Linked DNA regions of Saccharomyces cerevisiae S288C. The gene in region 2 interacts genetically with the main gene of each other region. Each region holds a gene or a part of one and is shown on either strand. Other genes may lie near its edges.

Evidence for each region.
Region 1: mutations in SNZ1 (region 2) and ALD6 together harm fitness more than expected from each alone (negative genetic interaction), as found in Saccharomyces cerevisiae (2 studies listed by BioGRID).
Region 3: mutations in SNZ1 (region 2) and TPN1 are lethal when combined (synthetic lethality), as found in Saccharomyces cerevisiae (2 studies listed by BioGRID, with this or other methods).

The regions. Positions count from the first base shown.
Region 1 is NC_001148.4:430,434-441,207, forward strand, and holds ALD6 (aldehyde dehydrogenase (NADP(+)) ALD6), read left to right. Parts: upstream 1-2,154; coding exon 2,155-3,657; downstream 3,658-10,774. Other genes in the region: protein translocase subunit TIM50, read left to right, coding at 1-936; YPL062W (uncharacterized protein), read left to right, coding at 1,462-1,866; MFM1 (Mfm1p), read left to right, coding at 4,090-5,331.
Region 2 is NC_001145.3:453,659-463,845, reverse strand, and holds SNZ1 (pyridoxine biosynthesis protein SNZ1), read right to left. Parts: upstream 5,439-10,187; coding exon 4,545-5,438; downstream 1-4,544. Other genes in the region: ATP25 (Atp25p), read left to right, coding at 1,237-3,075; putative GTPase MTG1, read left to right, coding at 3,319-4,422; SNO1 (putative pyridoxal 5'-phosphate synthase), read left to right, coding at 5,887-6,561; CTF13 (Ctf13p), read right to left, coding at 6,585-8,021; snoRNA-binding rRNA-processing protein UTP15, read right to left, coding at 8,290-9,831. UniProt on the Saccharomyces cerevisiae protein: Catalyzes the formation of pyridoxal 5'-phosphate from ribose 5-phosphate (RBP), glyceraldehyde 3-phosphate (G3P) and ammonia. The ammonia is provided by a SNO isoform.
Region 3 is NC_001139.9:151,177-161,950, reverse strand, and holds the start of TPN1 (Tpn1p), read left to right. Parts: upstream 1-9,174; coding exon 9,175-10,774. Other genes in the region: serine/threonine protein kinase ATG1, read right to left, coding at 1-1,886; GTS1 (Gts1p), read right to left, coding at 2,855-4,045; MND1 (Mnd1p), read left to right, coding at 4,666-4,668, 4,752-5,408; cystathionine beta-lyase STR3, read left to right, coding at 5,939-7,336; YGL185C (putative hydroxyacid dehydrogenase), read left to right, coding at 7,645-8,784. UniProt on the Saccharomyces cerevisiae protein: Thiamine-regulated, high affinity import carrier of pyridoxine, pyridoxal and pyridoxamine.

The DNA.
Region 1 (10,774 bases), on a different chromosome or scaffold from region 2:
TCAATGTTCACCTACTTCCAAGAGCCACCTTTCCCTGATTTACTACCTCCACCACCACCACCACCGTACCAAAGGCCATTAACTCTTGTTATCACATTGGAAGATTTTTTGGTTCATTCTGAGTGGTCTCAAAAGCATGGTTGGAGAACGGCCAAAAGACCTGGTGCTGACTACTTCTTGGGTTACCTATCGCAGTATTACGAAATTGTTTTGTTTTCATCCAACTATATGATGTACTCTGACAAAATCGCTGAAAAATTAGATCCAATCCATGCATTCGTATCTTATAATTTGTTCAAGGAACACTGTGTTTACAAAGACGGTGTGCACATTAAGGATCTGTCAAAATTGAATAGAGATTTGAGTAAAGTAATCATTATTGACACTGACCCTAACAGTTACAAATTGCAACCTGAAAATGCTATTCCAATGGAGCCATGGAATGGTGAAGCTGATGACAAATTAGTAAGATTGATTCCATTTTTGGAGTACCTTGCCACTCAACAAACCAAGGATGTTAGACCAATCTTGAACAGCTTTGAAGACAAGAAGAACCTAGCAGAAGAATTTGATCATCGTGTGAAAAAATTGAAGGATAAATTTTACGGAGATCATAAATCTGGTGGCAACTGGGCAATGACGGCACTAGGTCTCGGAAATTCCCTGGGCGGCAGCACCAAGTTCCCGCTCGATTTGATTCATGAAGAAGGACAAAAGAACTATTTAATGTTCATGAAGATGATTGAGGAAGAAAAGGAAAAAATTAGAATACAGCAGGAGCAAATGGGCGGGCAAACATTTACGCTGAAAGACTATGTTGAAGGTAACTTGCCTTCGCCAGAAGAACAAATGAAAATACAATTGGAGAAGCAGAAGGAGGTAGACGCCTTATTTGAAGAGGAAAAGAAAAAGAAGAAGATTGCTGAATCCAAATAATTTTCATGTAAACCCTCTTCTCATGTATCTACGTATCTATGTGTGTATGTAAATGTACCTGTACACTCCCCACACCCTCATTTTGTTACTGTCATGTGAATAAAACTTATGTATATTGCTAACTTACTACCACTGCACCTCCTAACATCACCATACTACGTACAAACACGCCTATTTATTTTTTCTATGTTAAATTTTAACGATGTAGACACACCTAATGATCTGATGCGCTTTGCATATCTCATATTCCTTCACTAGCATAAAAATCCAAAAAAAAAGAATATTTAGGCCGAATGGAATTATTCGTAACGTCATACGAAAAAAGTTTCAATTCGTACAATGCCTGGCATGTTCATTCGAATATAAGGCCGCCGCCTTCCAGTCAGGGTAGCCAAAAGTATAATCCCGGGTGGAAACTAAACTAAAAACCGTACTCACAACTTTCCGCGGACGCTAACAGACAAATAGACACACTATCAGGTCAGGAACTGCCGTCACATACGACACTGCCCCTCACGTAAGGGCATGATAGAATTGGATTATGTAAAAGGTGAAGATACCATTGTAGAAGCAACCAGCACGTCGCCGTGGCTGATGAGGTCTCCTCTTGCCCGGGCCGCAGAAAAGAGGGGCAGTGGCCTGTTTTTCGACATAAATGAGGGGCATGGCCAGCACCGAGACGTCATTGTTGCATATGGCGTATCCAAGCCGAAACGGCGCTCGCCTCATCCCCACGGGAATAAGGCAGCCGACAAAAGAAAAACGACCGAAAAGGAACCAGAAAGAAAAAAGAGGGTGGGCGCGCCGCGGACGTGTAAAAAGATATGCATCCAGCTTCTATATCGCTTTAACTTTACCGTTTTGGGCATCGGGAACGTATGTAACATTGATCTCCTCTTGGGAACGGTGAGTGCAACGAATGCGATATAGCACCGACCATGTGGGCAAATTCGTAATAAATTCGGGGTGAGGGGGATTCAAGACAAGCAACCTTGTTAGTCAGCTCAAACAGCGATTTAACGGTTGAGTAACACATCAAAACACCGTTCGAGGTCAAGCCTGGCGTGTTTAACAAGTTCTTGATATCATATATAAATGTAATAAGAAGTTTGGTAATATTCAATTCGAAGTGTTCAGTCTTTTACTTCTCTTGTTTTATAGAAGAAAAAACATCAAGAAACATCTTTAACATACACAAACACATACTATCAGAATACAATGACTAAGCTACACTTTGACACTGCTGAACCAGTCAAGATCACACTTCCAAATGGTTTGACATACGAGCAACCAACCGGTCTATTCATTAACAACAAGTTTATGAAAGCTCAAGACGGTAAGACCTATCCCGTCGAAGATCCTTCCACTGAAAACACCGTTTGTGAGGTCTCTTCTGCCACCACTGAAGATGTTGAATATGCTATCGAATGTGCCGACCGTGCTTTCCACGACACTGAATGGGCTACCCAAGACCCAAGAGAAAGAGGCCGTCTACTAAGTAAGTTGGCTGACGAATTGGAAAGCCAAATTGACTTGGTTTCTTCCATTGAAGCTTTGGACAATGGTAAAACTTTGGCCTTAGCCCGTGGGGATGTTACCATTGCAATCAACTGTCTAAGAGATGCTGCTGCCTATGCCGACAAAGTCAACGGTAGAACAATCAACACCGGTGACGGCTACATGAACTTCACCACCTTAGAGCCAATCGGTGTCTGTGGTCAAATTATTCCATGGAACTTTCCAATAATGATGTTGGCTTGGAAGATCGCCCCAGCATTGGCCATGGGTAACGTCTGTATCTTGAAACCCGCTGCTGTCACACCTTTAAATGCCCTATACTTTGCTTCTTTATGTAAGAAGGTTGGTATTCCAGCTGGTGTCGTCAACATCGTTCCAGGTCCTGGTAGAACTGTTGGTGCTGCTTTGACCAACGACCCAAGAATCAGAAAGCTGGCTTTTACCGGTTCTACAGAAGTCGGTAAGAGTGTTGCTGTCGACTCTTCTGAATCTAACTTGAAGAAAATCACTTTGGAACTAGGTGGTAAGTCCGCCCATTTGGTCTTTGACGATGCTAACATTAAGAAGACTTTACCAAATCTAGTAAACGGTATTTTCAAGAACGCTGGTCAAATTTGTTCCTCTGGTTCTAGAATTTACGTTCAAGAAGGTATTTACGACGAACTATTGGCTGCTTTCAAGGCTTACTTGGAAACCGAAATCAAAGTTGGTAATCCATTTGACAAGGCTAACTTCCAAGGTGCTATCACTAACCGTCAACAATTCGACACAATTATGAACTACATCGATATCGGTAAGAAAGAAGGCGCCAAGATCTTAACTGGTGGCGAAAAAGTTGGTGACAAGGGTTACTTCATCAGACCAACCGTTTTCTACGATGTTAATGAAGACATGAGAATTGTTAAGGAAGAAATTTTTGGACCAGTTGTCACTGTCGCAAAGTTCAAGACTTTAGAAGAAGGTGTCGAAATGGCTAACAGCTCTGAATTCGGTCTAGGTTCTGGTATCGAAACAGAATCTTTGAGCACAGGTTTGAAGGTGGCCAAGATGTTGAAGGCCGGTACCGTCTGGATCAACACATACAACGATTTTGACTCCAGAGTTCCATTCGGTGGTGTTAAGCAATCTGGTTACGGTAGAGAAATGGGTGAAGAAGTCTACCATGCATACACTGAAGTAAAAGCTGTCAGAATTAAGTTGTAATGTACCAACCTGCATTTCTTTCCGTCATATACACAAAATACTTTCATATAAACTTACTTGGTCTTACGTCATAAATAAATATGTATACATATAAATTAAAAAATTTGGTTTTATATTTTTACAAAAAGAATCGTTTACTTCATTTCTCCCTTTTAAGCGATACAATCCATGAAAAAAGAGAAAAAGAGAGAACAGGCTTGTGCCTTCTTTAAAACATCCCACACAAAATCATATTGAATTGAATTTTACATCTTAAGCTAGTGTACAACAACTGCTATATCCAAAGAAAACTAACGTGGACCGCTTTTAGAGTTGAGAAAAAGGTTTGAAAAAAATAGCAATACAAAGACTTGTTTCATATATAAAATACAGGGAGCACATTGAGCTAATATAACATAAACACTGCGAACCAATTCCAATCAAAAGGTACACATGAGAGCATTCCCCCGAGTACTGCCATTTCGCCATCAGAGATCATATAATAACATCCTTCTTCGAACAGTAAGGCTTTTTGGTTCATCACTTTCTTCTTTTGATTTCTCTAGGCAAATGCCTAAGGTGGACCCTGACAATACCGCTGCAATGCTACTACAGAAAAACTTGATCCAAAGAAACAACATGCTCTATGGGTATGGATCAGGGACAATACGATGTACTTTGCTAGACTCAACTGGACGAGCCAAATCACCATTAGTAGAGATAAAACGTGAGGATCTAGTATCAAAACATGGCTTGTTGCCCAGAGATCTACGTAAAATTGAAAAATCAAGGAAGAATGACTTAGTCCCTAGTTTGCTCGTGCGAGAAAATTCCATACTAATCAGTTTACTTACTGTGAAAGCCCTAATTAAGCCTGATATGGTTATTATCTTCGATTCAGCCGGCAGTGGAATAACTTTAAACTCAGAAGCTCACAAGGATTTTATTAACGATATGAAATTGAGACTAAAAAATCAAGAAACAAGCGAGCTAAATAGCGATCCACTTCCTTATGAATTCAGAGCTTTAGAAACGATCTTCATTTCGGCATTATCTAACCTTACCAGTGAAATGAAGGTGTTGCTAACCATATGCAAGGGGGTGCTTCAAGATCTAGAATTTAGTATAACAAGAGATAAATTAAGGTTCTTACTGGGTCAAAACAAAAAATTGAGCAGCTTCAATAAAAAGGCTGTTCTAGTTAAAGATATGCTGGATGACTTGCTAGAGCAAGACGATATGCTTTGTGATATGTACTTAACCGACAAAAAGGCTGGAAAAATTAGAGTTCAAGATGATCATACTGAAATTGAAATGCTTCTGGAAACATATCATAACTATGTCGATGAAATAGTTCAGAAAAGCGAAAGCGCCATATCTGACGTGAAAACCACAGAAGAAATCATCAATATAATCCTAGATTCTAACAGAAACGAATTAATGCTGTTAGGGATAAGATACGCCATAGGAATGCTTTCGTTGGGAGGCGCTCTATTCCTGGGTTCTATCTATGGTATGAATCTGGAAAGTTTCATAGAAGAAAGTAATTATGCGTATTTAACTGTCACCATTTTGGGGTTAATATCTACTGTTTGGCTCTATGCGAAGGGAATCAGACATTTGCATAAATTACAACGTATGACATTATTGAGTAAAATAAAAACAGATTCCGTTCACGAACTGTTGAAGAAATAGTTATCACGAAGAGTCAATCAATCTTTTTAATACGCATTCAAATGAATAAGAACAACTTTCACTTTTTTAAGTATATAAAAAGCCGTACAGGCGAACGTATATAATTAAAATTCTTTGGAAAAAAAGAAAGCTCGCACTCAGGATCGAACTAAGGACCAACAGATTTGCAATCTGCTGCGCTACCACTGCGCCATACGAGCTTTTGTTGTATAGTTTTAAGGCAATAGAATAATAACACTTATCCACGCAACAGTAATGTGGTTAAATAATAACTTCCTGTCAGGACTTGTGGTTGATTGGTGAAAATCAAATATCATGCTGACTACTAGAAATATTAGCAGTATATTATCATATACGGTGTAAGAAGATGAGATAAGGATTGAGAAACAGTCATCAAGTTTAATGAAAGTGAAATGAAAGGATTGATTATATAATAGGATAATGAATCACAAAGTATAAAAAGAAGGAAGAAAAAATGATATCATTGAGAAATTGATGAATTTTGAGATAATTGTTGAGATTTAATTGTTGATAAAGGCAATAATATTAGGTATATAGAATATACTAGAAGTTCTCCTCGAGGATATAGAAATTTTCAAAGGGGAATCGATTTTTCTACAAATAATATTACTATTATTCCTCCTTCCGTTTTATATGTTTCATTATCCTGCTATATTATCAATCGTTGCATTAATCGTTGAATTTCAACTTACTCGAACTTCGATGACAGTTTCTCATCCCTTATGTTATCTTCTTACACTGTATGTGATAATATACTGGTAGTATGACTACTAGTTGATAGACGATAGTTGAATTTATTCCATAAATTATTTATGTAAAACTGCCGACCCCTTTTGTCGATTTCTATATTCTCGAAGAGAACTTCTAACATTTTCTGTATACCTGATATTATAGTCTTTAACAACAACGGAATCCTCACAGTTATCTACGATTCATCTATTTCTCATCAGTAACAAAGATATTTCAGTAGTTATTTTATATAATTCATGCGTTTCACACATAGAGATGGTTTCTTAAGTTTAGAATGACGTATTTAGCTATAATAAAATGTTTCATTGTGGGATAAAAACTTGTGGGCCATGACATGAGCAAATTTATTATCAATGTTGATAATTAGAGGTAAAAAATTAGTATTAATGAAGAAGTGAGTACTGATCTTCTTATACTAAATAAGAGAGGTATATAAAACACACGCCGATTGGTCATATTAATCATGACCAATATAATAGTGGTTCCGGTAGTTACTATACATTGATGTGACGACTCATATTCCTCATATATGTACCTACCATATCATGTTCAACTAATAGGTCTTTAACACAGCTTCAGTATTGTCTGAGCTTCTCGTTTAACATTCCTTCTGCAATAGGCGCAATCACACTTAAACGTATACGAGTTGTACATTAATATACGATGTAAGCATTAGATTGTTACCATAGCAACTCATGTCACTATTAATTACTCTCGTTCCAACATGCTCCCTTAAAGATATATTATTGTACTTCAACAGATATTCATTGTGTGTTTAGAACTTCATTAATTAATTATCAATAGTCTGTTGAGGCCAAAATATCCTGTGATGTTATTTTATTTTTTAATACTTGTATAAATCTTTTAAAATCAGATGCTGATACTGGTTTTGTTAGTAAATCAGCAATATTACCTTTGCCGGTAATTTTTAACAGTTTTATACTCTTCTCTTTAATTTTTTCTTTTATTATTTCAGTTTTTATCCAAGTGAATTTCTCTTTTGGTTGTTGATAGCTGCGATTTAATCCTTGAATGGCTGGCTTTGAGTCAGTGATCATGACAATGTCATTATTGTCTCCTTCTCCTAGCTCCTTTAATGTTACCTTCAACGTTTCTGAGTCTGCATAGCCTTCATAAATGGCATGAAGCTCTGCTTCTGTTGATGATACACATCTGTTTGTGCTCTTGTTAGAATAAACATTAAAAATATTCATACCGTACCATAATATAACTCCAATCCTTGATTGAGCATCATATTCTGATCCAACTGATGCATCAGTTATAGCAATAACCTTCTTGTCTTTATTACAGTCTCGGTCATAGTGTATTCCAATATCTTTATACCGAACCAAGTACTGGATTATTTTGTAAATCATATAAAAGACTCTTTCATGTGGGTAATTTACTAGTCTAGCCACTTTCTTAACAGCAAAATTAATGTCGTATCTGCATTTGTGTCTGACATAGTTTAGTTCACCTAGTAATTGTTGTAGCTTTAGAACACCTTGTCTAAACTCTTCTTCTGACATTTGCAGTACGTCTTTCTTAGGATCTATTTTATAAGTTGACATATGCGGAATTGAACTTTTTCTAATCTTTTTCAATTCCTCGTTGTATTTTTTATCCATTCTATTTATGAATGATTTTAATGTTAAATCGATAGTACCAAGTCTTTTGTTGTATACTAGATCCATTCCTAATATATCTGTATCGAGTACATCATCTATTAATGTTCCTGTAATTTTCAGTTCAAAATTACTTTTCAATTTGTTTATGAATTCATCCAATCTCTGTTCATTGCTTGCCGCAATTACGCAGTCATCAACATAGACTGCAATCATTAGATTTTTATCCTCGGTTTGGTATAATCCCGGAGTATAAGAGTTATCTTTCAGTCCAATTCCATTCAAGTATTGTCTTAGATGATCATTCCATTCTTTAGGACTCTGTTTTAGACCATATAACGCCTTATTTAGCTTGACTACACATCTCCTATCATGCGGATGTGGGATGTATATTTCTTCTTCCAATTTAGCATATAGGAATGCATGATTGATATCCAGGGTCTTCATAAACATATTTCTGTTGTTTGCAATCATTAAGAATATCTTAATATGATTGTGATTTAAAGATTCTGTAGTTATTACACTGTAAGTGTCTGGTGACTGAGTATCACCTCTGCAGACTATCCTAGCCTTATAAATCCCATTTCTTTTCTTTGTGAATATCGTGTTGGTGGGTACTATTAAATTATCAGGGATTTCTGATCTACTGTACTTCACATCGACATCAAATACCTTCATATCTTTTAAATTCTGTAATTCTTTATGATATGCCTGTTTGTATTCATGTTTTTCTTTGAGGTCAGGATTTTTTGAAATAGCTTCATTATAATATATGGCTCTAATTTTTTGTGCTGAAACTGTTTCCATATTATCTGGAATTAATTTCACTCGATTCCTTTTTGAACGCTTCTTATCTCTTTCTAATTCATAGCTTGTTAGACTATTGTTTTTATCGTGTCTTTTCCGTTTTCTTTTCATGTTCAAAGAACTGAATTCTTTGTTTAAGAAGGCACTTTTATTAACTGTTTGTACTGGTGATCCAGATGCTTCAATATTTTGTTCCAACCTTGGTGACACATTTGTTCCATTGTCAGTTGGTACATTTTTATCGGTGACTTTTAATTCTTTTAAGTTATTACCATCCTGACAGTTTGATTCCATATCAGTTTGATCACTCATATCCACAATGTCCTCAATCGGGGGCGGATGATGATTTTCCTTCTCAAACTTTTCAACTTTGTTTGTGGAATAATCATTACTATGGTGATTGTTAATGCTTTCTAAAGTTTTTATTGGTAAACTCGTATCGCCTGTTTTTAAAGAAATCTCATTGTCTGTATTTCGGAATTTTACATTTTGTTCCAATGCTCCCTTCTTTAGGAAACGAAGTTTCATGATTTGTTTTATTGAACTGCTCCTGAATTAGTTCGGGTTTTGCGTTGTGCATTGACTCATCTTTGTTAGTAATAGATTCATCGGTGATATCTACACATCTACTGAGTCCAGTGTTTAAGATACTCCCAATATTTTTACTACGAATTCTGTCGGAGATTCTGTTTTCGTCATTGATTTTAATAGTATTTTTACTTCCTACCAGTTTCTCTTGTATAATCGATGGAATTCTGTGGACTTTTTCATCATACTTATCTTCATCAATATGACTTGTATTTATTAATCCTTTCTTATCGATTTCACTGATGGATATTTCAGTCGATGCAAGTTCTGAATTAAAATCCTTGTTTGACAAAATTTTGTTTTTATCAGTTGAGATTGAAGTATTTGTCGTTGAAAGTTCAGATTCAACGTCATAATCTCCAGATTCCTCAACATCAGAAAATACGTAATCCAAGTCCCCTTCTAGGTTATTACTAGGAGATGGGTATTTTGCGTTTGAGTCTATTTGAGATAACTCTTCCTCTGTGAACAAATCTTCCAGGCGAGTAATTGGTTTATTATCATCTTCGTAGTTTTCCAAAGCTTCACATAAGTTTGTGACCGTTTCGATTTGATCTTCTTCATTATCATTATGTGAACTGAATTGATGACTCTTGTAAATATTCTGAGTATTTCTTACTCTACCGTCCATCGTATAGTTGGGAATTGTATAATTATCAGATGTGACAATTTTATTTTTGGATGGTATAAAGAATTTGTATCCATAACTATTTGGATCTTTGCATAGAATTATAGAAGGAAGTCCAGATGGTTTCAATTTTTTGTGATTATGATTCCAAATTATTCCTTTTTCGCCAAATGGTAAGAATGACATTAATCTCACTGTAACAGGTTGACGTGAGATTGCCTTCAATGGTAGTTTACCTGTACTTTTGTGTTCCAGGCAATTTCTTATATTGGTAGCAGAAGTTACTGCGTATTCCCAAAATTTTACTCTTAAGTTACTTTGTCTTAGGAGTGTTGTTGCATCAGTTACTATTGTTCTGATGTATCTTTCTGCTCTTCCATTAGCAGCATGATCTTGTGTAGAAGTAAGTATGTGATGTATTCCTTTTGAAATAAAATATTCTTCTATCTGATCATTTGTGAATTCAGTACCTCTGTCTGAATTAATTTCTCTGACTTTCCTGTCAAATTGTGTTTCCACGTACTGAATATTCTTTCTGATTTGAGCTAAAATAGTTTCAGCATTCTTATTGAAGTGTGTGGAGGTCATGCAATATCTCGTGTTGTTATCCACCATAATAAGCATGTACCTTTTAGTGTCCGCGTTTGAACTTGATACAGGGCCAAATATATCCATGCACCATGATGATCCTGGTTCATGATCAGTACTATGATTATTCATAGACCCGGTATAATGATTTCTTTTCGTGGCTTTAGAGATTTTACAGGTTTGACACCAAAATTCATTTGGTTCTTTGATTAAGTCAAGGGATTCTTCATAATGATTATGTTTTATGGAATTTTCAATTTGTTGAATTCCTGTATGGCCCATTCTTTTATGAGCATCTTCCAAGGTAATAGACCTTTTATTTAGTTTAAATCCAGGAGAAGAAGTAGGTTTTATTGCATTTATTTTTGAATCATCGGAAGGACGTTCAATTAACTCGTTCATTTTTACGTGAATGACACCATTAACTATCTTGGTT
Region 2 (10,187 bases):
CATCCTTTATCTTTGTTTTTGTTGACGAACAACTAAAGCAACATTCTGTTTACTAAGACTCTTATTTAATTCCAAGTGCAGCAAGAACAAATTGCCAAAAGCGTATTGTTAAACTTGTTCTGGCAGCATATTATCGTAAAATTAAGTAACGTTTTTAAAAATGACACTGAATTCTACTTTGTGATGATCAAACAACACCCACCTGGTCTGATAAAAAAATCTCCGCGACGGGGAATTGAACCCCGATCTGGCACGCGACAAGCGCCCATTCTGACCATTAAACTATCACGGACAAATTTCTGAAGTTTTGTACTTTTACCAGTCCATCTAATACCATATATTTTGATAATAATTATGTCTTTGACAGTAACTTATCATCAGGACTGTTGGAATAAAAATCAAAAATCAACTATCGTCTATCAACTAGTAGTCACACTACCAGTATATTATGATATACGGTGTTAGATGATGGCATAAGGTATGAGAAGCTGTCATCGAAGTTAGAGGATGCTGAAATGCAAGGATTGATAATGTAATAGGATAATGAAACATGTAAAACAGAGTGAAGAATAATCGTAATACTATTATGTAGAAATATGGATTCCATTTGAGGGTTCCTATATCCTCGAGGAGAACTTTTAGTATATTTTGTGTACTATTATTATAGCTGTTAAGTATAATTGGATCCTAACAATTCTCATTATTTGTCAAATTCTCATCATCTATATATTAGACGCCGCATATAGGAAACAGCGATCAAACTTTAACGAAGCGAACATACAATATTCCTGATGTAATAATACCAATCAGCGAACTGTACGAAACAAATAGAAGAACGTTATATTATATGGGATTTTACACTTTTTTGGTGGTATCATATATGCTTGAAAAGATCCTGCAGCATTTCTATATACCTGATAATATTGGTTTTATTAGAAATGGGGTCACAATCATCCGAACTATCGTAACTTTAGAAATAATCCGTCTTTCTTAAATAGTACTCTAGTACACAGTAATGGTATTTGTTTTTACTAGTATTTCTTGACATCTTTTTCTAACCTCTCTTCTAATATACTTGCAATCTTCTGATAATTATGCTTTTCATCCCGATAAAGAGAAACAATGAGGACCATTCAGCCAAAAAAAAAAAAAGCAAGTTAAGCTACTAAGAAAGATCGACACCAAGTGAAGATTAAGTGTAATAGCCTGCTTATTCAAAAATTGAGGTTTGTTGACATGAATAAATTCTGTCTACTACCTTTCCATGGCAAGAGGATAGGCGTGGCCAATATTCCTTTTACCATATTATTCAAAAAGGGCCCTTATTTTCTTCATAGTCACATCACAGCAGTTTATTACTCGACAAAGGGCAAAAATGACAGTCATGAACAAAGTCGTGTATCCAAAAAGTCTACTTTTACCCCTCTGGAAACACCTTGGTACCTCAGGATTGTTGACAATGAAAAGGAACTAATGGAAGGTAAGAAAAATAACCACCACACGATGAACAAAGAATTGGAGATACCTAAAACCTCTCCAAACTCATTAAGAAAAATAGCAGACCTCCTAACTGGTAAACTTGGTCTGGATGACTTCCTGGTTTTCGATTTACGGAAGAAAAGCCCAAACTCTGTTTCAGCCGTTAATAAGTTGGGTGACTTCATGGTCATATGTACAGCAAGATCTACCAAACATTGTCATAAAAGTTTCTTAGAGTTGAACAAGTTTTTGAAGCACGAATTCTGTAGTAGTGCATACGTTGAAGGAAACTTTAATGAGCGACAAGAAAGTAGAAGAAAAAGAAGATTAGCAAGAAAATCCAACCTTAGTAAACTATTAGGTAGAAGCTCTGAATGCTCTGCAAAAGACTTAAATAGTGAGGCTTGGTATATGATTGATTGTCGTGTCGATGGTATTTTTGTAAATATTTTGACACAGAGAAGGCGTAATGAATTGAATTTAGAAGAGCTGTATGCACCTGAAAATGAGAAATCTAAGTTCCAAAATATAGATTCAGGTAATGTCCCTACTATTTCAGGGGTAAATGAAATTTCAAGCAACAATAATATTCTTTTAGGCCTAAGAAGACTGGCCCAGCAAAGGAGAAGGTATTCAACTATCAACCCAAACGGGCTAAGTAATTTAAGATACTTTCTACAAAAGGAAGACTTCAAAGGAGCCAATAAGATAATTCAGAGTAGTAGTGGTACTGAAACTCACAATATACGTACTTTGGAGCATGTTAAAAATACTTTAAAGGATTTGGTAGGACAAGAGAGGAAAGTAGATGTTGTTCAATGGAAGTCCTTATTTGACGAACATTCAACTTTTTTAACCATAAATCAATCGGCTGCATATTGGCCACTACGACTAGAATATGCGATACTTCTAAACAAAGCAGACCCACAATTTTATTCAGATCGTGTTTTCCTCAAGGATTATCTACTTTTAAAAAAATCGTTGGGGCAAGAGTTAATAAGGGAAGATCTAATCGCTCTTTTAGAAATGGTTTTGAAAACGCAGCATTCTAGTCATTCATACTTTAACCTAGTAAAGCAAAATAGGGTGATTATCAGAGCTTTGAACCTATTTAAAGGTCTACAAACAGAGGACGATGGCTCAGTTGTTTACGATGAAGTGGTAATATCCCTTCTTTTAAATTCCATGGTCGCGGATGAACGGGTAAAATTGAGATCACTCTACGAGACAATAGACCACATTTTCCAAACATTTGGAGATAAGTTGACTTCAGGCATGATTGTCTCAATATTGCAAAACTTGGCCAAAATCAAAGACTGGAATAAGCTACTTCAAGTCTGGGAAGCTATCACACCAACGGAAGGGGAAGGTCAGGACAAAAGGCCCTGGAATGAATTTATAAATGTTATCAATCAAAGCGGTGATAGTCACGTTATATCGAAAATCGTAAATAATGGTCATTTGCTATGGATCAGACGTTTAAATGTTAACGTAACTCCGGAGTTATGCAACTCCATTAAAGCGTTATTAAAAACCGCTGGAATGGAGAATTCCACATTGGAAGAATTCCTAGTCCGTGGAACAAACAATCAATAGTATTACCTGTATATAATATCTTAATCTCTCGTCGTTCGCCTTATTTATATTTGAATCAAATATTTAATTCTGCCACATGGTAGGTTCATTTTGCCGCAGATCAAAGAACACGGACCATCATGTCAAAAGTACACAATTTTTGTCTTTTCGAAACAATTTGGTTTAGTTATTAGGAGAAGAAAGAACGAATGATAATGCTCATTACTCAGACCTGAATGCAAAAAAGCCAAATCAAATACAGAAATGCACATAAATGTGAGAGGAACTAGGAAAATAATTTCCAACGTTTCATCCTTCACACCAAGATATGAATTTCCAAAGTACAGTATGCCTCTCACTGATTTCAAGGGACACCAAGTCAAAGCTCTTAAAACATTTGAAAAGTTGCTTCCTCAAATGAATATGATAATAGAACTACGTGATATACGTGCCCCGTTATCTACAAGGAATGTGGTTTTCGATCGAATAGCAAGAAAGGAACACGATGTGATGAAATTAGTGGTATACACTAGAAAGGATCTTATGCCCGGCAATAAGCCATATATAGGAAAGTTAAAGAATTGGCATGAAGAGCTGGGAGAAAAGTTTATTTTACTGGATTGCCGAAACAAAACTGACGTCAGGAATCTACTAAAAATACTAGAATGGCAAAATTACGAACTAGAAACAAATGGCGGATATCTACCTATGGGATACCGAGCATTGATTACTGGCATGCCAAATGTTGGAAAATCTACTTTAATAAATAGCTTGAGGACAATTTTTCACAATCAAGTGAATATGGGAAGAAAATTTAAGAAAGTAGCCAAAACTGGTGCAGAAGCTGGTGTTACTAGAGCCACAAGCGAGGTTATTAGAGTAACTTCACGGAATACGGAATCAAGAAATGAAATATACTTGATAGATACTCCAGGAATCGGTGTTCCCGGTCGCGTTTCAGATCATAATAGAATGCTAGGACTGGCGTTGTGTGGTAGTGTTAAAAATAACCTTGTAGATCCAATATTTCAAGCGGATTACCTTTTATACCTAATGAACTTGCAAAATTTGAACGATGGAAGAACAGAGCTTTACCCTGGAAGCACCAATTCTCCCACAAATGATATATATGATGTTTTAAGAAGGCTTCAAGTGAATAAAAGCCAAAATGAAAAATCAACGGCTATCGAGTGGACTAACAAATGGAGGTTGCATGGAAAGGGTATCATATTTGACCCTGAGGTACTGTTGAATAATGACGAGTTTTCTTATAAAAACTATGTAAATGATCAATTGGAAAAGTTAGGAGATCTTTCGTATGAGGGATTGTCTAACAAACTAAAAGGGAACCCCAATCAAGTATTCTAGTAAATAATATCCAGCATACATAAGCTTATCTAATAATTAGATCATTTTACAATGTGTACCGAGTAATACAAAGTTGAGGGGGGAAAAAGTGTTATAATGCTCAAAATACCTGTTCAAAGAAATCACCACCCAATTTCGGAAAGTCTTACTCCATTGGAAGCATGACTAATAGATTCGATTGATACACCACCCATTAACTCTCCTAAGTCACTAGATACTTCCAACAATTTGCTGGGATTGTCAAAGTGAGTGGTAGCCTCTACTACTGCAGTGGCCAACCTTACAGGATTAGATGATTTAAAAATTCCTGAGCCAACAAACACACCATCACAACCCAACTGCATTAACAATGCGGCATCGGCTGGCGTTGCTACACCACCTGCAGCAAAATTTACTACTGGCAACTTACCTTTTTCTAAAACATCTTTCAGCAAAGAAACTGGTACCCTCATTTCCTCAGCAACTTTTGCAATGTCATCTTCGCTCTTCAATTGTTGGCACGCCTTTATCTCCTCTGTAATTCTCCTTATATGCTTGACGGCTTCAGAGACATCGCCCGTTCCAGCTTCACCCTTGGTACGAATCATAGCGGCGCCTTCATTAATTCTTCTCAAAGCTTCACCTAAGTCTTTAGCGCCACAAACAAATGGAACTTTGAATTTGTCCTTTTCAATGTGGTGAGTCCAATCAGCAGGAGTCAAGACTTCACTTTCGTCAATATAGTCAACTTCCAATGCCTCAATAATTTGAGCTTCAACAAAATGGCCAATCCTTACCTTAGCCATGACGGGAATGGAAACGGAGTTCATGATGTCCTTAATCATCTTCGGATCTGACATGCGGCAAACCTTTCCTGACTTACGCATATCTGCTGGGATGGATTCTAATGCCATTACCGCACATGCACCAGATTTTTCAGCTATTTTTGCCTGCTCTGGAGTAACAACATCCATAATAACGCCACCTTTTAACATTTGGGCGAGACCACTCTTGATCTTAAAGTCTTCTCCAGTCATCGTGATAATTAACTGAATATTAGTACTGTGTATATTTGCTAGTCGTTCCTAAAGGTTTCTCCAACAATACCATAGACTTCGTCCATAGCTCTCAGCGTCCTCCTATTTATATCGAAAATGGTACTTCGCAGCCAGAATTACAGACGTAACTAACGGTGCGGCAGAGTGTGTCAGAGTCATGAAGAAATGGCGGCGCTACCTGAAAAGTAGTGAAAAAGCCCGGCTTTCAACCCTTACCCTTGTCGGCTGAGTCATTATGTCATGATGAGCTATTCCAACTAGTGCCATAAATTCCAACTGAGTCAGTAAACGGCATTTATCAGCAATAACTGGTCACGAACTCTTTGAATGTTTTATTCTTTCTTCCAAAAATCACGTTGATGCCACCAGGTTTTTTTTTCTTATTATTTCATTTCGTTAAATAGAAAGAAAAACCATATCTTAAAGTATGCACAAAACCCACAGTACAATGTCCGGAAAGTCGATGAAAGTAATTGGGGTTTTGGCGTTGCAAGGTGCCTTTTTGGAGCATACCAACCATTTAAAAAGGTGTTTGGCTGAAAACGACTACGGAATAAAGATAGAAATCAAAACTGTAAAAACTCCTGAGGATCTAGCCCAGTGCGACGCCTTAATTATTCCCGGAGGAGAATCTACGTCGATGTCCCTCATCGCTCAAAGAACAGGCTTATATCCTTGTTTATACGAATTTGTTCATAATCCGGAAAAGGTAGTTTGGGGTACTTGTGCTGGTCTCATCTTTTTAAGCGCGCAATTAGAAAACGAAAGTGCCCTAGTAAAGACTTTAGGTGTGTTGAAGGTCGACGTGAGAAGAAACGCATTTGGAAGACAAGCTCAATCTTTTACACAAAAGTGTGATTTTTCCAATTTCATACCTGGCTGTGATAATTTTCCTGCTACATTTATTCGCGCACCCGTGATCGAGAGAATTCTTGATCCTATCGCGGTTAAAAGTTTATATGAATTGCCAGTGAATGGAAAGGATGTGGTTGTAGCTGCAACGCAAAATCATAATATCCTTGTGACTTCTTTTCATCCAGAGCTTGCTGACAGTGATACAAGATTTCATGATTGGTTTATCAGACAGTTTGTTTCTAATTAAAATACCGCCGGTTTTCCACATTTTTATATTACCAAAACCTGAGAGATTTTTTCACATCGATAAATCTCTACTCGTTTACTATCGAACAATGCTCTAGGTACGATGATATTGTTAAAAACTTCAGATACATTTTGTAGCTTGATATGGTTCAAAGTCCGAAAAGATAGCCAAACTATTGCTTGACATCGAAGGTATGTTATTTGATTAATTTCACTTTTGTCAAGCTCTTTTATTCTTGTGTGTCGTAAATTAAAAAATTTTGTGAATTTACTATCATCTTCCTTTATGTACAACGATTTAAAAGTTCTCTTATCGACTTTTAGTTCCTTTAGTATATTTTCCTCGATGTTCCACCACTTGATTTTACTTACACGTTTCATTGTCAGAGATTTAAAATTTTTGGGAAAGACAATGCTATTCAGGTCGATGTAAGCTACTCTACTTAATACAAGCTTTTGCAAGTTGTCCCATCTTGTAAAGTCAGCTAGTCCGGTTCTGGAAATTTGATTCATGCGTGATAGGCGTATTTCATTTATCCTACGTTTCACTATGTAACTAATCGTTTTACCAGGATTGTCTCTGAACCCATGAAAATTTATTAGCAACTCATATAATTTCTCTCCTCTCACAGTGATCTTCCGCAGGCTCTTCATGGATTCCATACTTCTTATTGTTCTTATAACAGAAATACTTGTTAGTTGGTTGTGCGTTGCTCCCACATTGCCATTATCTGAATGTGATCTTTTGGATGCTGACCTTTTCTTGTTTTTAATTGTGGAGCTAGGTGAGGAGTTTTCGTCAGAATTAGCTCCACTAACATCAACATCTTTCTCTTCTCCTACTTCTTCATCTTGTCCAAATTGTACCTCCCCGATTGTTGCGAATAAATCTTTCTGTTCTAAAATTGATAAGCATTTGTCTACTAGTTGTGGAGTTAGATTATCAATGTTGAATTGAATATTACTTACATTAAGTAAGTCAAGCTCGTCAAAAGCAACACTGTCTATCACCCACTTCTTGTACTCTTTAAAAGTATACCAAACTTCTAACATACTGGCCTTATTGAAGTAGGCCAGTCGAAGTTCATTATCAAGGTACGTCCATTCTAATGCATCTATAAGCGTTCCGTCATAAAGATGGTTTACTTTGAAACAGTCCAAAACCAGGCAATCATAGCGCAACCAAAATGCATACTCAAGCCATTTTTCAATGAGTTGCGGAGAGTATTCGAAAATGTTCAAATACGTGGCAAAAACAGGATACATGTATCTCAATAATTTCTTAGATCTCTTAGACCTTTTATAACTTGGTTTTCCTGGAAGCTCCACATCATTAGATTTGTATAATATATCTATTGGGTAGGGATGTGCTCCGCAAAAATTACCATCTAAATGGAAGTAAACTTCTTTTCTAATGTCAATTGGTAACTCTAAGAATCTAACAGGATTGAAAGAAGGCATCAAGCGACATGGACTTCTGGGGACTCACAGTCAGCTTTCTGTTGATAGCATCTCATCTCACAATGTTTTGTTTTCAAGCCCTCGAAGGTAGTTAAACGCGAAAACGTATCAAAATGCAAAGCACTCTAAAATGAAATTTATACAGGTTCCTTTTTTCAATAAAAAGAGAAGATATTATTTTTTTCGATTACAATGAGAAAGAGATATATATGTATGCCTGAATATCTATAAAATAGATACAAATTAAAATCTATATGCTAATATTTCCTTAACTCGTTAAAAGTTGAAGCATACCTTCAATTCTTTGAGCTTCTTTAGACTTATGAATTTCATGTCTAACTTTAGTTTTCAAATCTATCATCAATTCTTGAAGAACTGGAGAGCTTTCTAACGTATTCCCATATAATTCTAAAACCACGGCGACCCAATCCGCTACAATAGATGCTGATCTCACATCTTCAATACCTTTTAAGCACCAATTCAGTAGCGGCTCTAATGTAGATTCATCTCTACCATATAGCGCTACACGAACTTTGCCACGTTTGCGTAGTTCTTGAAGAACAGTAAGTGTCAACTCTTTGGCCATACCTGGTACAAAGGCATTGTCGAGTGCTTCGCTCCATTTAAACTGATTTATGTTCCTTTCGAATGCACGCATACGACGTTGAGATCTTACCTTATCATTGTGGATTATATGCTCTTGATCACCTTGGTATTCCGAGCCTCGCATCATTCTCTGGAAGTTATTACTTTTCGCATTCTTATTAAAACTGGCGGGTGCGTTTTCTTTATCGGAAGAACGTTTCTCTTTCTTTTTAGTTCTAATGGCTAGTAGTCCTGATGATAAACCTGCTACTAAATGCCTATTCCCTTGTGCGGTACTAGGGGAGACAGCACAACTTAGTACGGGACCCGAAAATTTCCAGCCAAATTTGACTTGGAAATTGTCTAAAGGATCAAAGACTTTGACATGACCATCTAAGGAAGAAGCGATCAACGCCGATTGCATTGGAGAATCAAAATTTTCAACATAGTCCAAGCATGTCACAGCCTTATTGAAATTGCCACGTTCGTATAATTTCTTGTTACTGGTCAAGTCCCACACTTTGAAATTATTGCCACCGCAAGAAACAATTTGGGTTGGAGATACTGCAATAACATTTTCAACAGGTTGGTCATGATTCAGAGAATAAATTGGCGTGGATCCGCTAGATCTTGTGTCATATAATCTGATCAAACCGTCGTATGAGCCTGTTGCAACCAAATGTGGGGCTGCTGGGATAAATGATAAGGTACGAACATAGTCAGTAGCTCCGGTGAGCTCTAATTGTGGCTCATATGCGTTGGATATATCCCAAAGTCTTGTCACTCTATCGTCACTCGCCGTAGCCAGAATTTTGTTATCTTGCGTATGGAATTTCGTAACATGTGTGGGATGTGTGGAAGCGTTTATAGATAAAAGGATAGTCCTGGGATTATAACTGTCGTATACAGACACTAAACCGGTAGCATCACCGGCACAAAGCAATTTACCATCACTCCTAAAGGATGCAGAATAGACAACATCTTTAAATCTTGAAAAGGTCTTGATCACTTGCCTAGTTCTTGAAGAAAATATTTGAACTCTGGTTGAGGAAGTTACTGCAAAATCATGAGGATGTTGAGGATTGAATGATATGTGAGTAACGCTATTATGTTCTTTAACCAGTTGTGCGGAAGTGTATTGACGCCAGTAACGCTGCTCCGGGGTAGTCTGTTGAGGCAATAATGGAGCCTTCGAAGTGATTATTCTAGGCCTAGCAGTCGACATTTTATTTCTATATTATGATCCTTAGGCCTGTTCTTAGCAAAAACTGTTTCAAGGGACTTCTATTAGTGATGGGCATCGTTTTTTCTTCAAAGCTCGAAAGTTTTCAAAATTTTTCAGTTATTCCAAAAATTTTCAAAAGATAATTATCACTAATTACGAGGTATGTAGGTCACAGAACGTTAAATATTATGCTTACTTGGGGTGAATGACTAGAAACTGGAGGTGTATCAATACTAGCTATTGCTTTCCGTTCATAATCAGAACTGAACGCTACCAAGACGTTCTGAAACGTTTTTATTGGTCTCTAGTGTCCCGTTCGTTTGTTTTCGAAACAATGAATTGTATATGATGTACGG
Region 3 (10,774 bases), on a different chromosome or scaffold from region 2:
TTAGCCATGCCTTTTAATGTTGTTGATAATGGAACAATTTGAGAAAATTTCACTTCTGCATAAGAGTAAACAACAAATGCCTTTGCGGCCAGAGATTCCAAAATACTAACGATATTAGTATTATCTAATTTCAGTGTCTCTGGATGCTGTAGGTGATCTATTCTTAATATTATATTCTCAGTAAGTTCATGAAAAAGTTGGGAATTCAACAAAGTTTGACTGTACGGTGGGGAAGATGTGATTTGTTGCTGTTGCTGCTGTTGATTTGCACCACCAAACAATCTCGTTGATGCAATACCGAGGGCTCTTGATAATGCATTAGATGGATTCAGCGAGGATATAGACAAGCGTCTATCCACCAAAGATGGTCGCCTAGACCCATCACTACCTCCACTGGAAGATGATGTGGCCCTCAGTAACCTCGGATTTTCTCCTTGATTTTGAAAATACTGTTGATTGTTTGGAGAGAATTGCTCATTCAATAAGACGTTCTGATTTTGAGTTGAAGTTGGGTGCTTAATAGGATTTGGATTGAATCCTGCTTGAGCAACCTCGTCTGCCAATGAATTAACTTCAACCGATTTCTTCTCTACCACCACATATTCTCTTTCAAAGCTTCTATCTGAAACTAGGCTATTATGGTATTTATTATTTGAAGCCTTTTTATCTACGGCTTGTGTATGGTCTGTTTTAACGGCTGGGGCAGTTAATATATTGCTGTTCTTGAGGGCATCACTGAGCTCCGCGGGATTATCTGCCATTGATTGATGACCTGCAAGATTACTGTTCGGACTCTTTGGCTGTTTAGATAAATACTCAGAAACGAACATATTACTTTCTACAATACCTTTTGATTTGGATTCTAACTCAGGTAAATCATCTTCCAATTCATAAGAAGACAAGTCTTCGTTGACTACCTTGTTAGCAAAAAACTCCTCAAATCCTATTCTTTGGGCTGGATCAAATGTCAATAAACTACATATCAACTCTTTTAACTCTGGTTCAATATTGCAATATGAAGGAAACGTTATGACATCGTTTGCTCTTTTAATTTTCTTGAATAACTCCAAATGATTGGAAGCTCTAAACGGTGGGGTGCCACAGCACATTTCGAATACCACTGTACCGACAGACCACAGATCTGCTTTAGCGTTATATTTTTGATAATTCAAAATTTCTGGTGCCATATATAATGGTGAGCCACAAAGAGTTTCTGCTAATGACGTGTTTGGCAAAAATCTTGCAAACCCGAAATCTGCTATCTTTAAAATGGGTAAGTTGTAGATCCCAACAAATCCAAGTTCATGGAAGCTTTTTGAATCATGATATCCAATTAGGGGTGTAGATAATAGTAAGTTTTGAGGCTTGATGTCTCTATGAACCAAGTTTTTAGACCTCAAAAATTTCAAAGCGGACGCTAACTGCTGTAAATAACTCAAGACAAACGCTCTATGCAGGCCGTTATGGTTCTCACTCGGTGGAGGGTATTTTTCAAATACGGTCCTTAGTAGAGGATGATTCTCCATCAATTCTTTACGCCTTTTCAACAGAAATGTTAGGTCCCCAAGAGCACAGTACTCCATGATCAAATAAAAATCTGTTGATGTTCGTTCACAGTCAATAAGTCCGACGATATGAGGATGCTTGATTTTCTTCAAGATAGCGATTTCTATTTCCAAATTCTCTAGTAATTTCTTATTTTTTAATTTCGCCCTTGATACTTCCTTTATGGCTACATGCTGAGATTTGTCGGATGTCAGATGCCCTCTATATACAGTGGCAAACGAACCCTTTCCGATTTCTTTCTCAGCGGTGTAATTTCCTGCACTTGCCATTAGATTATGGTTCACAGAGGTTGTGTGATCTTTATTTTTAATGTCTCCCATTTTCTTAATTTCTCGTCTGGTGTTGTAAAAGAGATTTGAAAATATGGGGTAGCTTCAAATTCGTTTTGTGGAGATATCAATGATTATTCTCCTATCTCCTTTGCCTTATGTTTTTATTATATTATATGTTATTTTATTATGGGTACTATTACTACGATTGTATTATATCTTTTTATCTTCTATAGTACTGTTCTCTGTTTCCCCAGAAACTAAAAAGGGTAAAAGATGGCCTTGGTACTTAACTTAAAGGTGATGAAATGTGGCGTTCTAGAATTAACCTCGGCCTAAAAAATAAAAAGCTAAAAAAAAATAGTACGATCAGGAAGATATTAATAATATAAGCTCCTTTATGAGATGCTCGATTCCTTTTGTTGCCAACTAAATGACGCTTAGAATTCCATCGATTCCACGATCGATATAGTTACAAATCACAAACTGATGCTGATGGGGGAAATGGTTTAAGAAATCAGAGCCGAGCGGTTAAAAAGAAAAACAGATGCTTGAATACGAATGATATGCTTGCTTCTTTAACGGTATGGCTTTCCAGTAATAGTTACTCCGATAAGATTCATTACAGATACACGAAACGAACAAGGAAAAGATGATTAACGGGAAAAAAAGAGAGTTCCTTATCTCATTGATTTTAACTAGTGGGTTTTCCTTACATTACCGCCCAATCCCTTTTTTTTTTCTCGCTCTCACCGGCGGAGCGCGAGCGGAAAACGCCACCCAGGTGACTTTTGCGCTAAGTGTGGATCAAATACAGTGGTATTAGTCATTGATGTGCAGCGTAAAACGTCCGGAGCAGCTGTGTAATGCGGCTGTGTAGGGTGAATACAATAGAGAATATGACTAATTCTGGTATATAGTCGTTGTTTACAGATATCTTTCGTTACTTAGTGTCATTTAATTACTTAGTGTCACTCTATATGATATGTAATGCGGAGCAGCGGCAATGTATCTTATTTTTATTGTGTGTAGAAATAACCTTGTGGCAGGTTTCCTCCTTGCGACATTTGCTGAAAAGATAATGGCGCCTGTTGCTGTTGCTGCATCTGAAGCTGTTGCATCTGGATCTGCTGTGCTTGAGCCTGAGCCTGGGCCTGAGCCTGAGCCTGAGCCTGAACTTGAGCCTGTGCCTGTGCCTGTGCCTGAGCCTGAGCCTGTGCGACAGCAAGCTGTTGCTGTTGCTGTTGCTGCTGTTGCATAGCCATGGCGTATTGCTGCTGATCTACATATATCATTCCGGTAGCAGGATCGTAATACTGTTGAAGGGTACCATCGAAAACTGCTGGCTTTGCTTGTACAAAAGATGCTGAATTTGAAGTAAAATCTGGCGTGATTACATTTGTACCATCAAAAATAGCTGGCTGTGGGCCACTTGTTGTCGCACGTCTCCTGGGCAGGGGCGGAGTTGATGTTGTCGCTGCTGCCGATACACTATTTCTTGAACTTGAACTTTTTTCTAGATAATCGATTGCTCTATTGATATTTCCGTGAGCGGACGATAATGCATCTAAATTTTTGTTTGTATCACCGAAACCCATGTCCTTGAGTTCTGCCAGTTGCCTAGAATATCTGCTTCCACTGCTTTGGAATGAGTCCCTGGAACCGCCGTAGTCAGACCTATTATGGCCCCCTTTATAGAAAGAATGAGATCTGCTCCTGCTCCTACTTCTATTTCTTTCATCAAACCTGTCCGATTCCCCATCAAAATCATCCATTCTGGATCCAAAGTCTTCAGGCTTTATTTCATCATACCTGAATTTACCCAAAATATACTTGTCTCTAATGTAATGCTCCACGATGGCTTTGTCATCATCTCCATCAAAAGGAAAAGGGACATTTTTAGGATTCCAGAACCGAGCATTCCCCTTATTGCCTCCAAGACTCACTAATTCATCGATATCCTCTCTTGTCCATCTATCCATTGATAGTGATTTAACGTTAGAAAAGGCATCGTCGTCTCTGCTACCGAAAACTTTTCTATGAACAGAGGCACACCTACCACAAAGGAAAACCCCCAAATTAACTGAGCACCAAGTTGGGTAGAAATTACCACATTCACCGCATTTATTGGCATTCTCGGACGAATTAATCAACTCCTTTAATTCTCTGTCAACATGTTTTAAGCTATGGGAAGAACTCCTAAACCTCATTTTTGACTAAGTATAAATAAACTATAATCTGTGATTGACAGAACGCTGCCTCCATCTATATTAATGATTGATCAAGAGAAAATGTTCTTCTTCCACCCTTTTGTGAAGCATTTAGAGATCAACACTAACTTTCTTCAACTTACAATAATTTCCGGGTGCCCCCATTTATCGATTACCCGGATCCGCTTTGCATCATAGTGTGTCGTTGTCGAAACAAAAGCGCCGTATTATTTGGTCAACGTTTAATAAAGTAAAAGCAGCATTTGAGATGCTCTATACAACCTTCTTAATTGCAACCGACATAAAGGTATGTTTTTCTCTTCTTATTATGACAAGGGAAACTTGAAGAAGAATTCGTGTCTTGCCATAATTTCAGCATCATCGTCTCAACCTAAGCCTCTTCTCACGAAGGCACGCTCAAATATCTTTCTGGCTCTAAAAATCTTGAATAACGAACCGAATTTACCATCTTTCCTGCTTTTTTATGCGTCGAAAAAAAGTAAAATAACCGCCCAGATCACGAAATTGCATATAAAAGGCGATCTCCCGTCCCACCGTTATTCTTTGCGATATAGACTAAACGGCGGAAACTTTATGTGTAGTATCATAAACATTCAACAATGGTATGTCTAATAAAACCATCATGGTACACAGGACTGAACACTAACTTATAGACGGGTGCGTGCTACCCTCTTCTTATTATTAGGGGCCAAAGAGACAGACAGTATCACTCCAAGAGAAAAAGAACCGGATTCTGAACTTTTTTCAAGAGACGTACACATTCTACAACATCAAGGAATTAGAGAAAAGCATACCTAAAAAATGCGGAATCTCACCCATGATCGTTAAAGATTTAGTGCAACAAATGATTGATGAAGACGGCGTCATTTCGGTGGAAAAATGTGGTAATATTAACATCTACTGGTGCTTTAAAAATCAGACACTGCAAAAATTGTATGATTCAAGCGAGTTGATAAAAAAAAAGATACAGGAAGTAAAGTGTGATATTGCCACTTATAAACAAGAACTAGACAAAACGCTAGCAACTGGAAGGCGTAAAAAATTTACGGTAGGCCAAAAATCATACAATAGGGAGGCTCTACTGGAAAAGAGAAAAAAAATTCAGGATGAAATTAAGAAAAAGAGTAATAGTCTCCAAAAAATAGAAAGCATTAGATGGGATGCAGCAAAAATACAAGAGAATAAACAACAGATCCGCCTAAAAAAAGTGCATCTGGAGAAAACTACTGATAACATTGAGATTCTCATTGATTATTTATACAAGAAATTCTTTTTGAAGCCAGAACAGATAAGAAAAGAATTTGGAATTCCAGAAGAGTTCAAGGAATTTACGGAGGTTTAACCTTCATGCACTATACACGAAAGAACAAAAGTGTCTTGATTATTACATCTACATTTCCAGGCATAGAGCTTGCAGATTAGCCGCCCATAAATTTGCCACACTGTTTTCCGTGGCGCCACAGTCCGCGTTTGGTTATCCGGCTGACTCATTCTGACTCTTTTTTGGAAAGTGTGGCATGTGCTTCACACAATATAATTCCCGTGAGCACAGCATGCTTCGGGCCGAAGTCTGTTGGAGGCATATGCTCCTACCTTGGAAGACTCATCGCATCTCAAAAGTGTGTAAAGGGGCCTTCTGGCCATATATCCTCTGAGACCTGGTTGAAATGTGGCCAGAAGCAAAGCTGATAAAAACAACTGGCGCATACGTAGCTATATTTTAAATAAATAAATAAATAAATATATATATATATATATATATATATATACATATATATACAGTCATTGCCACACATCCCATAGCTCTGTGTGCTTACAGTTCATTAAAAACAAAAAATATCAAGCAAACAACAAAAGCATAGAAGCAAAAAGATGCCGATCAAGAGATTAGATACAGTTGTGGTAAATACCGGCTCTCAAAATGACCAACATTCAGCCTCCGTGCCACCGGTGTATTTGTCGACTACCTTCAAAGTGGACTTGAATAATGAAGATGCACAGAACTACGATTATTCCAGATCGGGAAACCCGACCAGAAGTGTCCTTCAACACCAGATTGGTAAGCTTTATCGTGTCCCACAGGAAAACGTATTAGCTGTGAGCAGTGGTATGACGGCGCTAGACGTCATCCTGCGTGGGCTCGTCTTACTTAACGGCACTGACAACCATACGCCAACAATAATAGCCGGCGATGATCTTTATGGAGGCACCCAAAGGCTGCTGAATTTTTTCAAGCAACAGAGTCATGCAGTCTCTGTTCATGTGGACACTTCCGATTTTGAAAAGTTCAAAACCGTTTTCCAGTCTTTAGATAAAGTTGATTGTGTTCTTCTAGAGTCTCCGACCAATCCGCTTTGCAAGGTTGTAGATATCCCTAGAATATTACGTTTTGTGAAATGCATATCTCCCGACACTACAGTTGTCGTTGATAATACTATGATGAGTGGACTCAATTGTAATCCTCTTCAACTGAATCCAGGCTGCGATGTCGTATACGAATCTGCTACCAAGTACTTGAATGGTCATCACGATTTGATGGGGGGTGTTATTATCAGCAAAACACCAGAAATAGCCTCGAAGCTTTACTTTGTCATTAATTCTACAGGAGCTGGATTATCCCCAATGGATTCTTGGCTACTTGTGAGGGGCCTAAAAACTCTAGGAGTTAGATTATATCAACAGCAGAGAAATGCTATGATATTGGCTCATTGGCTAGAAAATTCATGCGGATTCAAACCTACCAGAACAAACAAGGCTACGAAAACTAGATTTGTTGGATTACGCTCCAACCCGGATTTCAAGCTGCATAAATCGTTCAATAATGGCCCAGGTGCCGTGTTATCCTTCGAAACGGGGTCCTTCGAACATTCAAAGAGACTGGTCAGTTCCAAAAAACTGAGTATATGGGCTGTGACGGTATCTTTCGGGTGTGTAAATTCGCTTCTATCTATGCCTTGCAAAATGTCCCATGCTTCCATTGATCCCGAATTAAGGAAAGAGAGAGATTTTCCTGAAGATTTGGTTCGTCTTTGCTGCGGTATCGAAAATATAGTAGATTTGAAGAAAGATTTATTAGCGGCGATGGTTGACGCTGATATTATAGAAGTAAGAGAAAATGGCAAATATCTTTTCAACAAATTGAATAAGAACCTAGCTGTGAACACTACCATCGATGACCTGCATAAGCCTTTAAGTATTTACGAAGAATTTTACAATCAAGATCTCATCAGAAAGGACTCAGAATTGAATATTAAGAGTTCGAAATTGTAAGGGAAAATATGCATGTACCTTTTTTTTTTTTTTTTATAAGGTTCAAATCCAAAGATAGTAACTTTAAATAGTCAAGTATATAGACAGAATTTCAAGAACAGTAAGTATATTAAACTTTTACAGCCTTTCGGGCTGTTCCGTAAGCTCTTACTACTACCCTTGGGAAACGCACGCGCGAAGGAGGAAAGTTTGCCTCAATGAACGTGTGTAATGGCGGTCGTAAAAGGAATATAGAAATAGCTGTGCTTTTATAACTTCACTCGACAATGGGTTGACAGCAGATTTAGAAGGAAAAGAGCATACAAAAAATGTGCGATTCTCCTGCAACGACTGGAAAGCCTACTATTCTTTTCATCGCAGATCCGTGCGAAACATCAGCCACACTTAATTCCAAGGCATTCAAAGAGAAGTTCAGGATCTTGCGCTATCAGCTGGACACCAAAGAAGCATTTCTTAACTTTTTAGAAAGGCATGAACAAGACAAAATATGTGCCATTTATGCTGGGTTTCCGGCATTCAAAAAAATCGGTGGGATGACTCGAAGTATCATCGAACACAAGTCATTTCCAAGGAAAAATTTAAAATGTATCGTGCTTTGCTCAAGAGGTTACGACGGATGGGATCTGGATACATTACGCAAGCATGAAATTCGATTATACAACTACCAAGACGATGAAAATGAAAAATTGATAGACGATTTAAAGCTTCATCAAGTCGGTAATGATGTGGCAGATTGTGCCTTGTGGCACATTCTGGAGGGCTTTAGAAAGTTCTCCTATTACCAAAAACTTAGTAGAGAAACTGGAAATACATTAACTGCAAGGGCGAAAGCTGCAGAAAAGAGCGGATTTGCTTTTGGCCATGAACTGGGGAATATGTTTGCTGAATCACCAAGAGGAAAGAAATGCTTAATTCTTGGTTTAGGAAGTATTGGAAAGCAAGTAGCCTACAAGTTGCAATACGGGCTAGGAATGGAAATACATTATTGCAAAAGAAGCGAAGATTGCACAATGAGTCAAAACGAAAGCTGGAAATTTCATTTGCTAGATGAAACAATATATGCAAAACTATACCAGTTTCATGCAATCGTGGTCACATTGCCGGGAACTCCACAAACAGAACATTTAATCAACAGGAAATTTTTGGAACACTGCAATCCAGGCCTAATTTTAGTCAACTTGGGAAGAGGTAAAATTTTGGACTTGCGGGCTGTTTCTGACGCCTTGGTAACGGGACGAATCAACCATCTCGGTTTAGACGTCTTTAATAAAGAACCAGAAATAGATGAAAAAATCAGATCTTCTGATAGACTTACTTCAATTACTCCGCATTTGGGTAGTGCGACAAAGGATGTTTTTGAGCAAAGTTGTGAACTGGCATTGACAAGAATCTTACGGGTAGTGTCTGGGGAAGCCGCAAGCGATGAGCATTTCTCCCGTGTAGTTTGATAGTAAGAGACGTAAGAACCTTATGTTAACATACCTATATATACATATACGTCAACACACCAAGAAAAAAGAGCAGTGCGAGTTTTCGTATGCATTTGACTTCAAAAAGAAGTCAACATTAAGTGCCGTTTTTGTTTCGACAATGGATTGTAGTACAGTGCCCCGTAGGTGTATGACTCGTACTTGCGTGTAAGTAAATTTCGGATTTGTTCGCCGCACCTTATCTCACCTGAAATTTTCTGCGTCAGGCTGCTTTGATGGTGTCTAAGAGAAGGCCATTAAAAAAGAGAACAGATGTTGAGGTTCTCAGTATAAAAATATTACTGTTGAATATTATTAGCTTTATAGAGTATTTATCAAAGAACAGGACTTGAAAAACTTCGATCATAGATGAATAGGGACAACATGGACACAACAAAGCGCAAAGAAGATCATACAAAGCATACTACTGATGTAATAGAATTTTACGAAGAAGGAACCGCAGCTTCTTCTTTAAACATAGCCACAGAAAAGGCCAACTCAAGTCCGTCCATTTTGAGAAGAATTATCAACAGGGCGGCATGGCTTTCTAAGAAAGTGGACGCAATGGGAGTAGAGTCTACCGGTATTCAGAGGATATCTCCCTATGAACGAGGAACATCAAAGAAACAATTTTTGCATGTCGCGGGGCTATGGTTGAGTGCCACAGGTGGTTTGTCTTCCATGTCGTCGTTTTTATTAGGCCCTCTGCTTTTCGGTTTAAGCTTTAGAGAATCCGTAGCCTCCAGTTTAATATCGGTAACAATTGGTTGCTTAATTGCTGCCTATTGCTCGATCATGGGACCGCAGTCCGGTTGCAGACAGATGGTAACAGCTAGATACCTGTTCGGATGGTGGTTTGTTAAATTAGTTGCATTAGCTTCCATTATCGGTGTCATGGGTTGGTCTGTGGTTAATTCCGTGGTTGGGGGTGAAATGTTAGCTGCTATTTCTAATGATAAAGTACCCCTATGGGTAGGGATTGTCATAGTGACCGTATGCTCCTTTTTAGTTGCCATTTTCGGTATCAAACAAGTCATTAAAGTGGAAACTTACTTATCCGTACCCGTCCTGACAGCATTTTTACTACTGTACATTTCATCAAGTGATAAATACAGCTTCGTCAATGCATACGTTTCAAAGGGAAATTTGGACTCTTCCACCCGAAAGGGCAACTGGATGAGTTTTTTTTCATTATGCTATAGTATTACGGCTACTTGGGGGTCTATTACAGCAGACTATTATATATTGTTCCCAGAAGATACACCATATATTCAAATTTTTTGCCTAACGTTTTTTGGAACATTTTTGCCTACCTGTTTCGTCGGAATCTTAGGTCTCTTACTAGCTTCTGTTGCCATGTCGTATAAGCCTTGGTCAGTCGAGTACGATTCCCATGGAATGGGTGGTCTACTTTGGGCAGGTTTTCAGCGTTGGAACGGCTTCGGAAAGTTCTGCGTGGTAGTACTGGTATTCAGTTTGGTATCCAACAACATCATCAATACGTATTCGGCAGCATTCTCCATCCAACTTTCTAGTGTGTTTTGTGCAAAAATCCCTCGCTGGTTCTGGTCTATTGTTTGTACTATAATTTGTTTGGTATGCGCATTAATAGGTCGTAATCATTTTAGTACTATTTTGGGAAATTTCCTACCAATGATAGGCTACTGGATTAGCATGTACTTTATCTTATTATTCGAAGAGAATTTAGTATTCAGAAGGTTTTTCTTACATTTGTACACCAAAGAGTTTCCTACAGTTACAGGAGAAATAAATGGACCGGAACTTGTTGGATCTTCAAAAGAAGTGGAGAAAGATGCAGTTACTAATATCCATTTGTTAAAAAGAAAACATAAGGTGACTAAACATCGTTACAATTGGGACAAATGGGAAGATTATGAGGTTTTAACGCACGGTTATGCAGCAACATTTGCGTTTATTGTAGGAGTTGCTGGTGTGGTAGTTGGTATGG